Stegostoma tigrinum: one gene and its partners. The protein of the gene in region 2 purifies or fractionates together with the protein of the main gene of each other region. This does not show direct contact. Links are inferred from orthologs where the notes say so. Each region holds a gene or a part of one and is shown on either strand. Other genes may lie near its edges.

What was found.
Region 1: the proteins of usp22 (region 2) and tada2b purify together in Homo sapiens (affinity purification with mass spectrometry; 4 studies listed by BioGRID and IntAct, with this or other methods). This does not show direct contact. The link is inferred for Stegostoma tigrinum from reciprocal best matches to the Homo sapiens genes USP22 and TADA2B.
Region 3: the proteins of usp22 (region 2) and taf6l purify together in Homo sapiens (affinity purification with mass spectrometry; 3 studies listed by BioGRID and IntAct, with this or other methods). This does not show direct contact. The link is inferred for Stegostoma tigrinum from reciprocal best matches to the Homo sapiens genes USP22 and TAF6L.

Annotation. Positions count from the first base shown.
Region 1 is NC_081354.1:56,828,545-56,832,293, reverse strand, and holds the start of tada2b (transcriptional adapter 2-beta), read left to right. Parts: upstream 1-1,612; 5' UTR 1,613-1,667; coding exon 1,668-2,945; 3' UTR 2,946-3,749. UniProt on the Homo sapiens protein: Coactivates PAX5-dependent transcription together with either SMARCA4 or GCN5L2.
Region 2 is NC_081376.1:20,209,482-20,213,230, reverse strand, and holds the start of usp22 (ubiquitin carboxyl-terminal hydrolase 22), read right to left. Parts: upstream 2,599-3,749; 5' UTR 2,414-2,598; coding exon 2,294-2,413; intron 1-2,293. UniProt on the Homo sapiens protein: Deubiquitinase that plays a role in several cellular processes including transcriptional regulation, cell cycle progression or innate immunity.
Region 3 is NC_081395.1:3,303,488-3,307,236, forward strand, and holds the start of taf6l (TAF6-like RNA polymerase II p300/CBP-associated factor-associated factor 65 kDa subunit 6L), read left to right. Parts: upstream 1-1,439; 5' UTR 1,440-2,058; coding exon 2,059-2,205; intron 2,206-2,364; coding exon 2,365-2,451; intron 2,452-2,956; coding exon 2,957-3,107; intron 3,108-3,200; coding exon 3,201-3,251; intron 3,252-3,749. UniProt on the Homo sapiens protein: Functions as a component of the PCAF complex. The PCAF complex is capable of efficiently acetylating histones in a nucleosomal context. The PCAF complex could be considered as the human version of the yeast SAGA complex.

The DNA of each region.
Region 1 (3,749 bases), on a different chromosome or scaffold from region 2:
CATTGTGTCATCTGTAAACTTAGCAACAATACCCTCATTTGCTTCATCTAGGTCATTAATGTATAATGTGAATAGTTTTGGCTCCAACATTGATCTCTGCGGTACTCTACTAGTCACCAGTTGCCATCCTGAAAAAGACTATCTGCACTCTGTCTCCTGCCAGTTAGCCAATCCTCTATGCTGGTGCTTAGCCCCTAACACCACAAGCTCTTATCTTATTTAGCAGCTTCTTCCTCAGCACCTTGTCGAAAGTCTTTTGGAAATTCAAATAGATCACATTTGTCAGGGATGACCTCCCCTTGAAAGCAATGCTGACTCAGCCTATCATGCATATTCAAGTATTCCACATTCTCATTCCTAATAATGGGACTCAAAATCTTACTAACATACAATGTCAGGCTAACTGGCCTATATTTTCCACTCTTCTGCTTTAACTCTTCTTAAATAGGTGTGTTACATTAGCCGTTGTCCAATCCTCTGTGACCTTCCCTAACTACAGAGATTCCTGAAAGTTCAACATCACTGCCTGCGCAAGCTCCTCAGCTACCTCTTTCAGAACTCCAAGGTGTAGTCCATCTGGTCTGAGTTATTTCTCTACCTTCAGACCTTTCAGCTATCCGAGCACATTCCCCTTAGTGATAACCATTGCATTCAACTCTGCCTTTTGACCATCTTAAAGTTCTGGAATGCAGCTGATGTCTTCCACTGTGAAGACTGATGCAATATACATATTCAGTTCCTCCACCATTTTTGTTTCCCATTACCACTTCCCCAATGTTATTTTCCACTAGTTCAACATCCACTCCTGCCTCTCTTTTTAACCTTTCATTGCAATCTTCTTTTATATTACTAGCTAGCTTACTCTCATGTTTCATTTCCTCCCCACTTATGGCCTTTTTAGTTGTCCTCTGCTAGTTTTTAAAAGGCTTCCCACTAATCTTCACCATATTGTATGCTTTTTCTCTTAGACTGTCCCAAATTTCCCTTGTCATCCACCGTTGCCTCATCCTCCCATTAGTATGTTTCTTCTTCCTTGGGATGAATTTCTGCTTGCCACCCAATTCATCCCAGAAACCCCTGCCACTGTTGCTCCACTATGTTCCCTGCTAGCCTCCCTTTCCAATCAAGTCTGGCTGTCTCTCTCATGTTTCTGTAGTTATAATTATTCAAAAGCAAACTTCCCTTCTCAAACTGCAGGATGACTTCTATCATGTTATGGTCACTGCCTTCAACTTAAGTTCCCTGCTAATTTTCAAAAGGTTACCTGAAACAGCAAAGGTAACAAGCTAATTGGAGGGGGGAGTATACAAGTGACAACAATTGGTTAATTCTTCCAAAAAGTTGGGGGCCTAATGTGCTCTACAAACTTGCGCACAACTGGCTTTCATATGTAGGAATTTTATAAGCAAAAGTTTAACTTGTGTAAGTCCATACAGGGTCATTCAATGACTATCTCAACACCTGTGAGTTTTGATGAAACAAGAGTCCTTTCTTATCCTGTGCACAGTGGCAAAGTCCATTAATTGGATATCCTTCCCCGTTGCTCCCTTTCCCAACGCCTTCAGGCGGCGCTCTCTGGCGCATGCTCCAACAGTTAGCGAGAGTCGTGGAAGCCGGCCGGCGGGCGAGAGCGCGCACCCACACCGAGCGCGCAGGCTCGTCGCACAATGGCGGAGCTGGGTAAGAAGTACTGCGTCTACTGCCTGGCTGATGTGACGAGCCTGCGGCTCCGCTGCACCGAGTGCCAGGACATCGAGCTCTGCCCCGAGTGCTTCTCGGCTGGCGCCGAGATCGGGCAGCATCGGCGCTGGCACGGCTACCAGCTGGTGGACGGCGGGCGGTTCACGCTATGGGGAGCCGAGGCGGAGGGGGGCTGGACGAGCCGGGAGGAGCAGCTGCTGCTCGATGCCATCGAGCAGTACGGCTTCGGCAACTGGGAGGACATGGCCGCGCATGTTGGCGCGCGTGCCCCGGCGGAAGTGATGGAACACTACGTCAGCATGTATATCCATGGCAACCTAGGTAGAGCGTGCATCCCGGATTCCATCCCGAACCGCGTGACTGACCACACATGCCCGGGCGGCGGCCCCTTGTCGCCCAGTTTAACGGCTCCTCTGCCGCCGCTCGATATCACGGTGGTCGAGCAGCAGCAGCTCGGTTACATGCCGCTGAGGGACGACTACGAGATCGAGTACCTACAGGACGCCGAGACCCTCATCAGCGGCCTGGCCGTCAACTACGACGACGAGGACGTGGATATCGAACTGAAGCGGGCCCACGTTGACATGTACGTGCGCAAGCTGCGGGAGCGACAGCGCCGAAAGAACATGGCCCGCGACTACAGCCTGGTGCCCGCCTTCCTGGGCAAGGAGCGAAAGGATCGGCCGCTCAAGCGCAAGGTGACCAAGGAGGAGAAGGAGCTGCGGGCCAAGCTGCGGCCCATCTGCCAGTTCCTGTCCGCCAAGGAGTTCGACGACTGCTTCGACAACCTGCACAAGGAGCGAGCGCTGCGGGCCAAGATCCGCGAGCTGCAGCGCTACCGGCGCAACGGCATCGCCAAGACCGAGGAGTCGGCCGAGTACGAGGCGGCCCGCCACAAGCGGGAGAAGCGCAAGGAGCTGCGCAACAGCGCTGCCGCCAAGCGCGGCAAGGACGAGGCCGGCAAAGAGGCTGCTGCCGCCGGCGCCACAGCGGAGTTCAACTCCATGGAGAACCTGGCCGGCTTCGACCTGCTGTCCGAGCGGGAGAAACTGCTGTGCAGCTCCCTCAACCTCAGCCCCACACGGTACCTGACCGTCAAGACCATCATCATCAAGGACTATCTGCAGAAGAGGCAGGGCATCCCTTCCAAGAGCCGCCTGCCCAGCTACCTCGACAAAGTCTTAAAGAAGAGGATATTGAATTTCTTAACGGAGAGTGGTTGGATTGCTCGGGACGCTTCTTGACACTGCTCGTTTATTTTCATCTGGAGGAAAATACTTTTTGTTTTCAATGCCACTATGTCCCAAGAAATGCAGCGTTTCTTTTTAATCAAAGAAAGTCCAGATGACTTTCAGTGTAGTGTGCAAAGGCAGTCAGCTGTGGACAGGAATACATGGTTTTCAAACCGTGGAATTTGACAAATTGTAACAAACTTTTTTCAAGATGAGCTAAAGTAAGCAAGCATGTTAATTGAGCCTTGTCAAAGACAGTTGTGCCATTGAACAAGAATGCCGTCAAAAGATCTATCTGAAAAAAAATGGTGGTTGCATCTGGCTGCTACCTTTTTTGGGGTCACGTCCTCTTGTTTTCCTGGCCCTAAATCAACCAACTGTCCCAACGTTCATCTACTGAACATGCTAATCTACAGACTGTTCAGGCCTCTTGGCAAGCCCTGATTCTGGCAGATAGCTAAAAGACTATTGGAGTAGGACGAGGGAATATAATATTGGATAACTGTACTTCTTGGATTCACTAAGGAACTTCAGCAAATCTTATGGCCTGCTTGTGATTCTGATTGAGGGTGGTTGCATTTTGTAAAACCTGCCCCATGTAAGTTAGTGGCAGGCCCCACTAACTCTTGAAAACAAAAGCAAATGATTGTCAAATGAACAGTCCAAAAAAGGTCTGAAAGATGTGCAAAACTTAGGCAGTTGTTGCATTTTGAGTCTCTGCACAACTGATTTGTGGGAATTCTCTTTTTTAGAAACATGGATGGCGATGTTGCATCAGAGGTTCTAATTTGTACAAATCACTTCACAGAAGTCCTT
Region 2 (3,749 bases):
AAGGTTATCCCTCAAACTCCTCCTCTCCAATGAACTAAGTCCCAGAATATCCAGCCTCTCCTAAGAACTCAAGCCTTCCAGTCCCAACAACATCCTGGTAAATCTTTTCTGAATCCCCTCCAATTTAATAATATGTATGGTGACCAGAACGGCATATAGCACTTCAGAAGAGACCTCACCAATATCCTGTACAACCTCAACAGGACATCCCAAGCCCTGTACTCAAATGGTCTGAACAATGAAGACAGGCATACTAAACACCTTCATTACCTCCCTGTCTACCTGTGACAAATTTCAAATCCCCATGTCTCTGTTCTACAAAACACTCCCCATGGCCCTATCATTATTAGTGCAACTCCTGCCCTTGCTTGTTTTACCAAAATGTAATAGCTCACATTTATACAAATCAAACTATCTGCCAATCCTCACCCCATTAACCCAAGTGATAAAGATCTCTTTGGAATCTTAGACAACCTTCTTCGTTGTCCACTATACCACCAATTTTGAATATCTGCAAGCTTACTGGCAAAGTCTAAATGTTTATCCAAATCATTTATATCAATAGCAAAAGTGGACCCGGCACCAATCCCTCTAGAACACTAAGTAACAGGCCTCCAGTCTGAGAAACAACCTTGTATGACTACCCTGTCTCCTTCCACCAAGCTAATTTCGTATCCAATTGGCAAGCTCACCCTGAATCCCATGTGACCTAACCTCACTAATTAATCTACCATGTGGAACCTGTCAAAGGCTTTACTGAAGTCTATGTAAACAACATCTATTATTCTTTTGATTACATCCTCAAATGAGGTCAAAAATCAAGTCTGAAAGATATGATTTTCCTTGGACTAAACCGTGCCATCTATCCATAATCAGTCCATGCCTCTCCAAATGCATGTAAATCTTAAAATTACAGCATGTAGACAAACAAGAAAATAACCTTGCTTGTATACCTTTGTGGTGTGGCAAACTCACTCTTGGAAAGAGATCATCCTGCATATAGATTATCTCCCCTTCCTATTCCTTGCCAGAAATGAGCAGTATCTTTATATTGAAGAAATCCAATAGTGCAGGCACCCCTTACTTTAATCACATAATGCAGATTCTGTTTTTCGATAACATCTCCTGTTAACATCTCACACACTGGTACAACCTGGCCAGATCGTACTGCAGACTACACTGTTAAGGTGAGGCAAACTGATCATAAGGTGATTCCTACAATACTAGGATTCTAGAGCACCACAGTAGATAATAACATTCTTTACAACACTACTACTGCCAGTTTGCCCTATTAAAAAGGGACAGTATTTGCACAACAGTTTATTACATCTATCAAGGGCACAAAATGCCAGTATTAATGGACTTCCTCAACATGGGAACACATCTTTCGCTTACTGACATGAACATGCCAAAAACAGGAACATTTGCCATTTTAAAAGGACACAGTGTATTCCTGAGAAGCTTAATGCCACTTTCCCTCATCATATCAGAACAAAGCAAATCAACCCACAGAGCTCCTGCACAAAATTTGTCTCAAAAGCAAATGCTGAAAAAACCAAACTCAGCAGGCCTACCAGCATTTGTGGAGACAGAAGTAAAGTTAACATTTCAAGTCCAATAAAACTCAAATTTGTATTATTACACTGGGTATCTGTCAGTTGTCTGACCACAACGGTGCTGAGAACCATTAATTAAGTCCCTGATCTTGCTGGACATATTTAGCATGACCTGTCTCAAAAAAAAACAAAATAAGGGAGGCCACAAGCCCCACCTAGACACCCTTTTATAAAGGGCCATACTTAAAAGACACTAGTTTTACGACTACTGCAGGGAACAATCACCCTGCACACAAAAAGAAAACTTTCTGGCATCTGTCCCAAACTGACCTTTATCAGTTTCTAGCCTTGTCATGAACCAATTTCAAATAGTGCTAAGGATTAACCATCTAAATTTAAGTATCATTAGGTATCACTGTCGCATTCATCATCTTTCTCTTTTTTTCCTAGCTTCTCCTCATAACTGAGTCCTCTGAAATGATTCAACCTTTTTTTTTACTGTCAGAGAGACTCCACCTGCATCTTTGCCCATCACTGTTCATGCGACGACTCCACCTCTGTCCCTCCCCTTACAACTGTGCCCCTCACGGTCCCAGTGAGAGCCTCCCTTGTACAGTAGCTCTTATCCATTACTGTAGCAGTGTCAGTGACTCTTCACCACCTCAAACGAGAGAGGTCCGTCTTGCGAGGCTGCCTTTGCTGGAGAGTCCCCTATCCGTGGCGAGCCCGGCCCTTACCTTCCTTTTCCTGCTCTCCGCAGTCCCACTCCACACAAAGCACTGGTAAATTACTCGCAGGCTCTGCTTCCAATTGTCCGCCTTAAAACTGTTCACATGGGAGCACCCGGCCGGACTCATGACAGGAGCCGCACCACAAGCACTGCCGCCAACGCGCAATCTCGGGCCGCAAGCTGTCCCCGCAACGCCTCCTCCTCCGCCGCTTTCCACCCCCAAAGCGCCGCCCGCCGCCGTCGCGGCTCCGATTATTTATATGAAGAAAAGCCCATAGTGTCGGCAAAGGATGATGGTCGTCAGGCGGCAGCGCTCCGGGAGGAGGAAAGCAAACTCGCCGAAACTGCAGGAAGTCCCACCTACCCCTGCAGAGTCATTGGTCAAGATGCCGGGCCCTTTACACAACCTGTCCTCCGATTGGTTAGCGTTACTATCCATCACTGCGCGGGACCGGAGGTTTTTCTCGCCTTGCGGAGGGAGGGTAGCAGAGACAACGCACTGGCGGATGTCCCGCCCACATGCTGTGCTCCGATTGGATAACATCCGGCCCTTGTTTCCTGCTCCATTTCTAATTGGTTGTTGTGCTGTCTATCGGCTGACGGTACCGGTATAGAGGACGGGCGTTTGAGCGATTTGAATGGCGTGAATGCGCTGCTTCCGGTTCCTGCTGCTAAGGCTTCCTGTTACTGGCTGGCTGAGGTTTTAGGGCCTCCTCATTTGTTAGGTTTTTCTCCTTACGTTCTATTGAAAGTACATATGGTTGCCTAAATGTCGCTGTTATGTGAATTGTTGACTTCATTTGTGTAATGGAATCTCCCGCCGGCGCCACCGATTTTTGTCTTGTTCGCCCATGGGTGCCTTCCTGACTCCACCCTGTAGGCCTTGGTTTAGCTGAGCACCTTGCCACCTCCGTCCTATCTCATCTCTTAAAGACTTTCAAAATAACTTGGCCAGTTGGTTGTTCTGCTGGTGGAGAGATTAATCTATGTGTCCCGGCACCTTTTTTAGCTGTTTTTTAATTTCTCTTATTTGCACTTTTCCGGGCGTCCGTATTTTCATAATTTTAAGCGTTTTCTTTAAAGTCCGAGCGAATTGCAAAGGGCAACTGTGTAATGTTTTTCTGAATCCAACGTGGTATCTAGCATTTTGTGTAGTTAATCTAGTTGGGCACCGCAAATTCCCACATTCAGCTTTGTGATAGAGATAAATTAATTGCTTTGAATAGTGGAGTGGAATCTTTTATTCTTCAGAGGGCAAATGAGAGAAGTCTTAAAAATGAGTTCCAATTGTACATCTACTCTTATCAGTATACTGGGAGTGTATGCCTCCTTGGTACTGGTTAAGGTTGCATTTTGTGTTTTTTTTTGGGTATGGCCGGGTGGAATCAGCAATCATTCTGCCCCCTTTGTTTAGGGATTGTGTTCAAATCCCTAGAAAATGTCTTCAACTCAGTATCCTCTGA
Region 3 (3,749 bases), on a different chromosome or scaffold from region 2:
GCCAAACAAGTCCACACCGCCCCTTGCAGCATCCCACACACCCCTGAACACTATGGGCAATTTAGCATGGCCAATCCACCTGGCCTGCACATCCCTGGACTGCGAGAGCAAACCCACGCAGACACGGGGAGAATGTGCAAACTCCACCAGACAGTTACCCGAGGCGGGAATCGAACCCGGGCCCCTGGCGCTGTGAGGCTGCAGTGCTAACCACTGAGCCACCGGGCCAGCCCAAAGAGGTGACTAATGACACAGTAGAAGTGTTGGTGGTCATTTCCCAAAGTTTGCTGGATTTTGGGAAGGGAGAGGGACGGAGAAACTAGATGTGTTGACAGTCAGAGATGGCAAGACCTGCAGATGCTGGAGTCAATGTCAACACAGTGTGGAGCTGGAGGAACACAGCAGGCCAGGCAGCATCAGAGGGAACACAGTGTGGAGCTGGAGGAACACAGCAGGCCAGGCAGCATCAGAGGGAACACAGTGTGGAGGTGGAGGAACACAGCAGGCCAGACAGCATCAGAGGGAACACAGTGTGGAGCTGGAGGAACACAGCAGGCCAGGCAGCATCAGAGGGAACACAGTGTGGAGCTGGAGGAACACAGCAGGCCAGGCAGCATCAGAGGGAACACAGTGTGGAGCTGGAGGAACACAGCAGGCCAGGCAGCATCAGAGGGAACACAGTGTGGAGCTGGAGGAACATAGCAGGCCAGGCAGCATCAGAGGGAACACAGTGTGGAGCTGGAGGAACACAGCAGGCCAGGCAGCATCAGAGGGAACACAGTGTGGAGCTGGAGGAACACAGCAGGCCAGGCAGGCAATGGAGGGAACACCGTGTGGAGCTGGAGGAACACAGCAGGCCAGGCAGCATCAGAGGGAACACAGTGTGGGCTGGAGGAACACAGCAGGCCAGGCAGGCAATGGAGGGAACACAGTGTGGAGCTGGAGGAACACAGCAGGCCAGGCAGCATCAGAGGGAACACAGTGTGGAGCTGGAGGAACACAGCAGGCCAGGCAGCATCAGAGGGAACACAGTGTGGAGCTGGACGAACACAGCAGGCCAGGCAGCACCAGAGGGAACACAGTGTGGAGCTGGACGAACACAGCAGGCCAGGCAGCACCAGAGGGGCAGGAAGCTGGTGGATGTGTTGGGTTGGGACTGTTCTTCATCGTGTTACTGTGTCTATGGTGTTGGAATCAATCCATCGCTGCGGAAAAGGGGGAGTGGAAAGCTATGGGGGCGAGATGGGAATCTGAAGCACAGGACAGCCAGGATTTTATTGACTGGTGGGAAAAGGGTCCTCCTGCAGAAGAACTTCCAGATCCTTCCGTACCGCCTGCCTTTTAAAGCCATAGGTGGGGCCCACCTCCAGTGTCGGGGGTTGCGGCCCATTTAAAATTCTGGATCACGTGGATGTGACGTTGGTACCCCGCCCACTCGCCAAGTGGACGCTGATTGGTCCGTGGGATGACCCCGGAAGTAGTTCCCTCTTCACTGGAGATGCAGAGCTGGTGCTTGGTTAATGAAGGGATGTCTAGTTAGTGACGTGCTGCCACTGGTTAATGAGGTGTTATCATTAGTTAATGAAGTTAGTGACGTGCTGCCACTGGTTAGTGCTGGTTAATGAGGTGTTATCACTAGTTAATGAAGTTAGTGAGGTGCTGCCACTAGTTAGTGCTGGTTAATGAGGTGTTATCACTAGTTAATGAAGTTAGTGAGGTGCTGCCACTGGTTATTGCTGGTTAACAAGGTGTTATCATTGGTTACAAAGGGGATATCCAGCCAAGGAGGAAGCCAGCATCTCTGGAAGTTAATGAGAGATTATCCGGTTAGTGCTGGGGTGATTCTGATGAGTCAGTAAGAGGACTGGTAACTAGTTGGAGTGTTGCTGGTTTTTACGAGGAGGCACCTTGCCACAGACGGGTTATGTTAGTAGTTAGTGAGGGATCTACAACTTGTGAGATGCTGGTTAGTAAGGGCCTGGTTACCAAGTGAGAGACAGGGTGTGCTGCTGGTTAGTGGAGGCGGAGAGGGACAGTGTCAGCCGGTGGGAGGCTGCGATGTCTGAGCGTGACGAGAGGAGATACGTGGAGCTGAGCCGGGAGTCGGTCAGACTGATGGGGGAGAGCGTGGGGCTGGAGCTGGGCGACGAGGTCAGCGCTCTGCTGGCGGAGGATGTGTCTTACCGACTGCGAGAGACCGCCCAGGTAAGAGGGCGGGGTGGGGGGGCTCGCTGAGCGGGGAGAGGTCTGCAGTGACCAGTCTGCAGAGACCACTCGGTCCTGGGGGCAGGGCTTGTTGGGGGGGGGATGGGGGGGGTGTGAACCAGCCTCCTCTCATCAGAACCCTGCTGTTGGCTCTTTCAGAACGGCACCCAGTTCATGAGGCACGCCAAGCGCCGGCGCCTCACCGTGGAGGACTTTAACAGGGCACTGCGGTGGGCGAATGTGGAGGTAGGTGAGAGGGACGGCAGGTGGGCGAGGACGGATTCACGTGTAGCAAGGCTTACAGTGCCCCCTCCCTCAGCACTGACCCTCCGACAGTGCCCGCTCCCTCAGCACTGACCCTCCGACAGTGCCCCCTCCCTCAGCACTGACCCTCCGACAGCGCGGCACTCCCTCGACACTGACCCTCCGACAGCGCGGCACTCCCTCGACACTGACCCTCCGACAGCGCGGCACTCCCTCGACACTGACCCTCCGACAGCGCGGCACTCCCTCGACACTGACCCTGGTCACGTCAGCCTGTGTTATGAGCTTTTGAGTCCCTGGTGTATGAATCGAATCAATTCTTCGTCTCCCCTTCAGTGAGATCAGGTCAAACTGCAGCAATCACGTGGAGCAATGTGGTGGACTCGGCGGCTGAGATGCTGTGCAGGGGCCTGAAGCCGTGCCTTCTGGCTGTAAGTGGAGTCTATTATTGCTGGTGCAGCCTGTAACTTACTGCTTGTGTTTCCAGCCTGTGTGTGGTTACGGGGCCCCGGATGTGCTCCCTTTTCGCTCGGTGAAGGAGGGAGAGCTGTTTGTCGTCGAGGATCGTGAGGTGAATCTGGTGGAGCTGGCCCTGGCGACCAACATCCCGAAGGGCTGTGGTCAAACTGTAGTCCGAGGTAGGGAGGCTGTGGGCTGAAGGATTGAGTTCCTGAGCGGTCGGTCTACCCCAGTTACGCACTAATACCTGTTCCCTGTCTTTGCTTGTCCAGTTCAGGTCTCCTACTTGGAGAGTAAAGCAAACGAGGAAGCTCAGGGAGCGGGTGAGTATTACCTCCAATCACATCCTCCCGTCTAGTATTAGACTACCGAGCCCATCAACTGGCAACACCAGAGGGACATACAGATTCAAGAGGTGAACCCGAGGGTGGGGGGGGTGGGGAGTGGGGGTAGGGGGTAGGGGGAGAGGTCTGGGGTGGTAGACAAAGAGAATGTTTTATCTGAGGAATTGAGTTGTAGTGTTCTGGGACCTGCTGTGGGGCAGAGGGACTAATTGCTGAGATCGTTCCCATTTGTGTTACATACGACAGGCACAGGGACAGGTGGTGTTGGGGAAGGGTGGGGGGCTGCAGAAGGACATTGACAGACTGGGGGAGTGGGCCAAGAAGTGGCAGATGGGGTACAGTGTGGGAAAGTACAAGGTTATGTACTTTGGTCGGAAGAATAGAGGCACAGACTGTTTTCTAAATGGGGAAAGGCTTTGGAAAACTGAAGCACCAACAGATTTGGGAGTCCTAGCTCAGGATCCTCTTAAGGTGAGC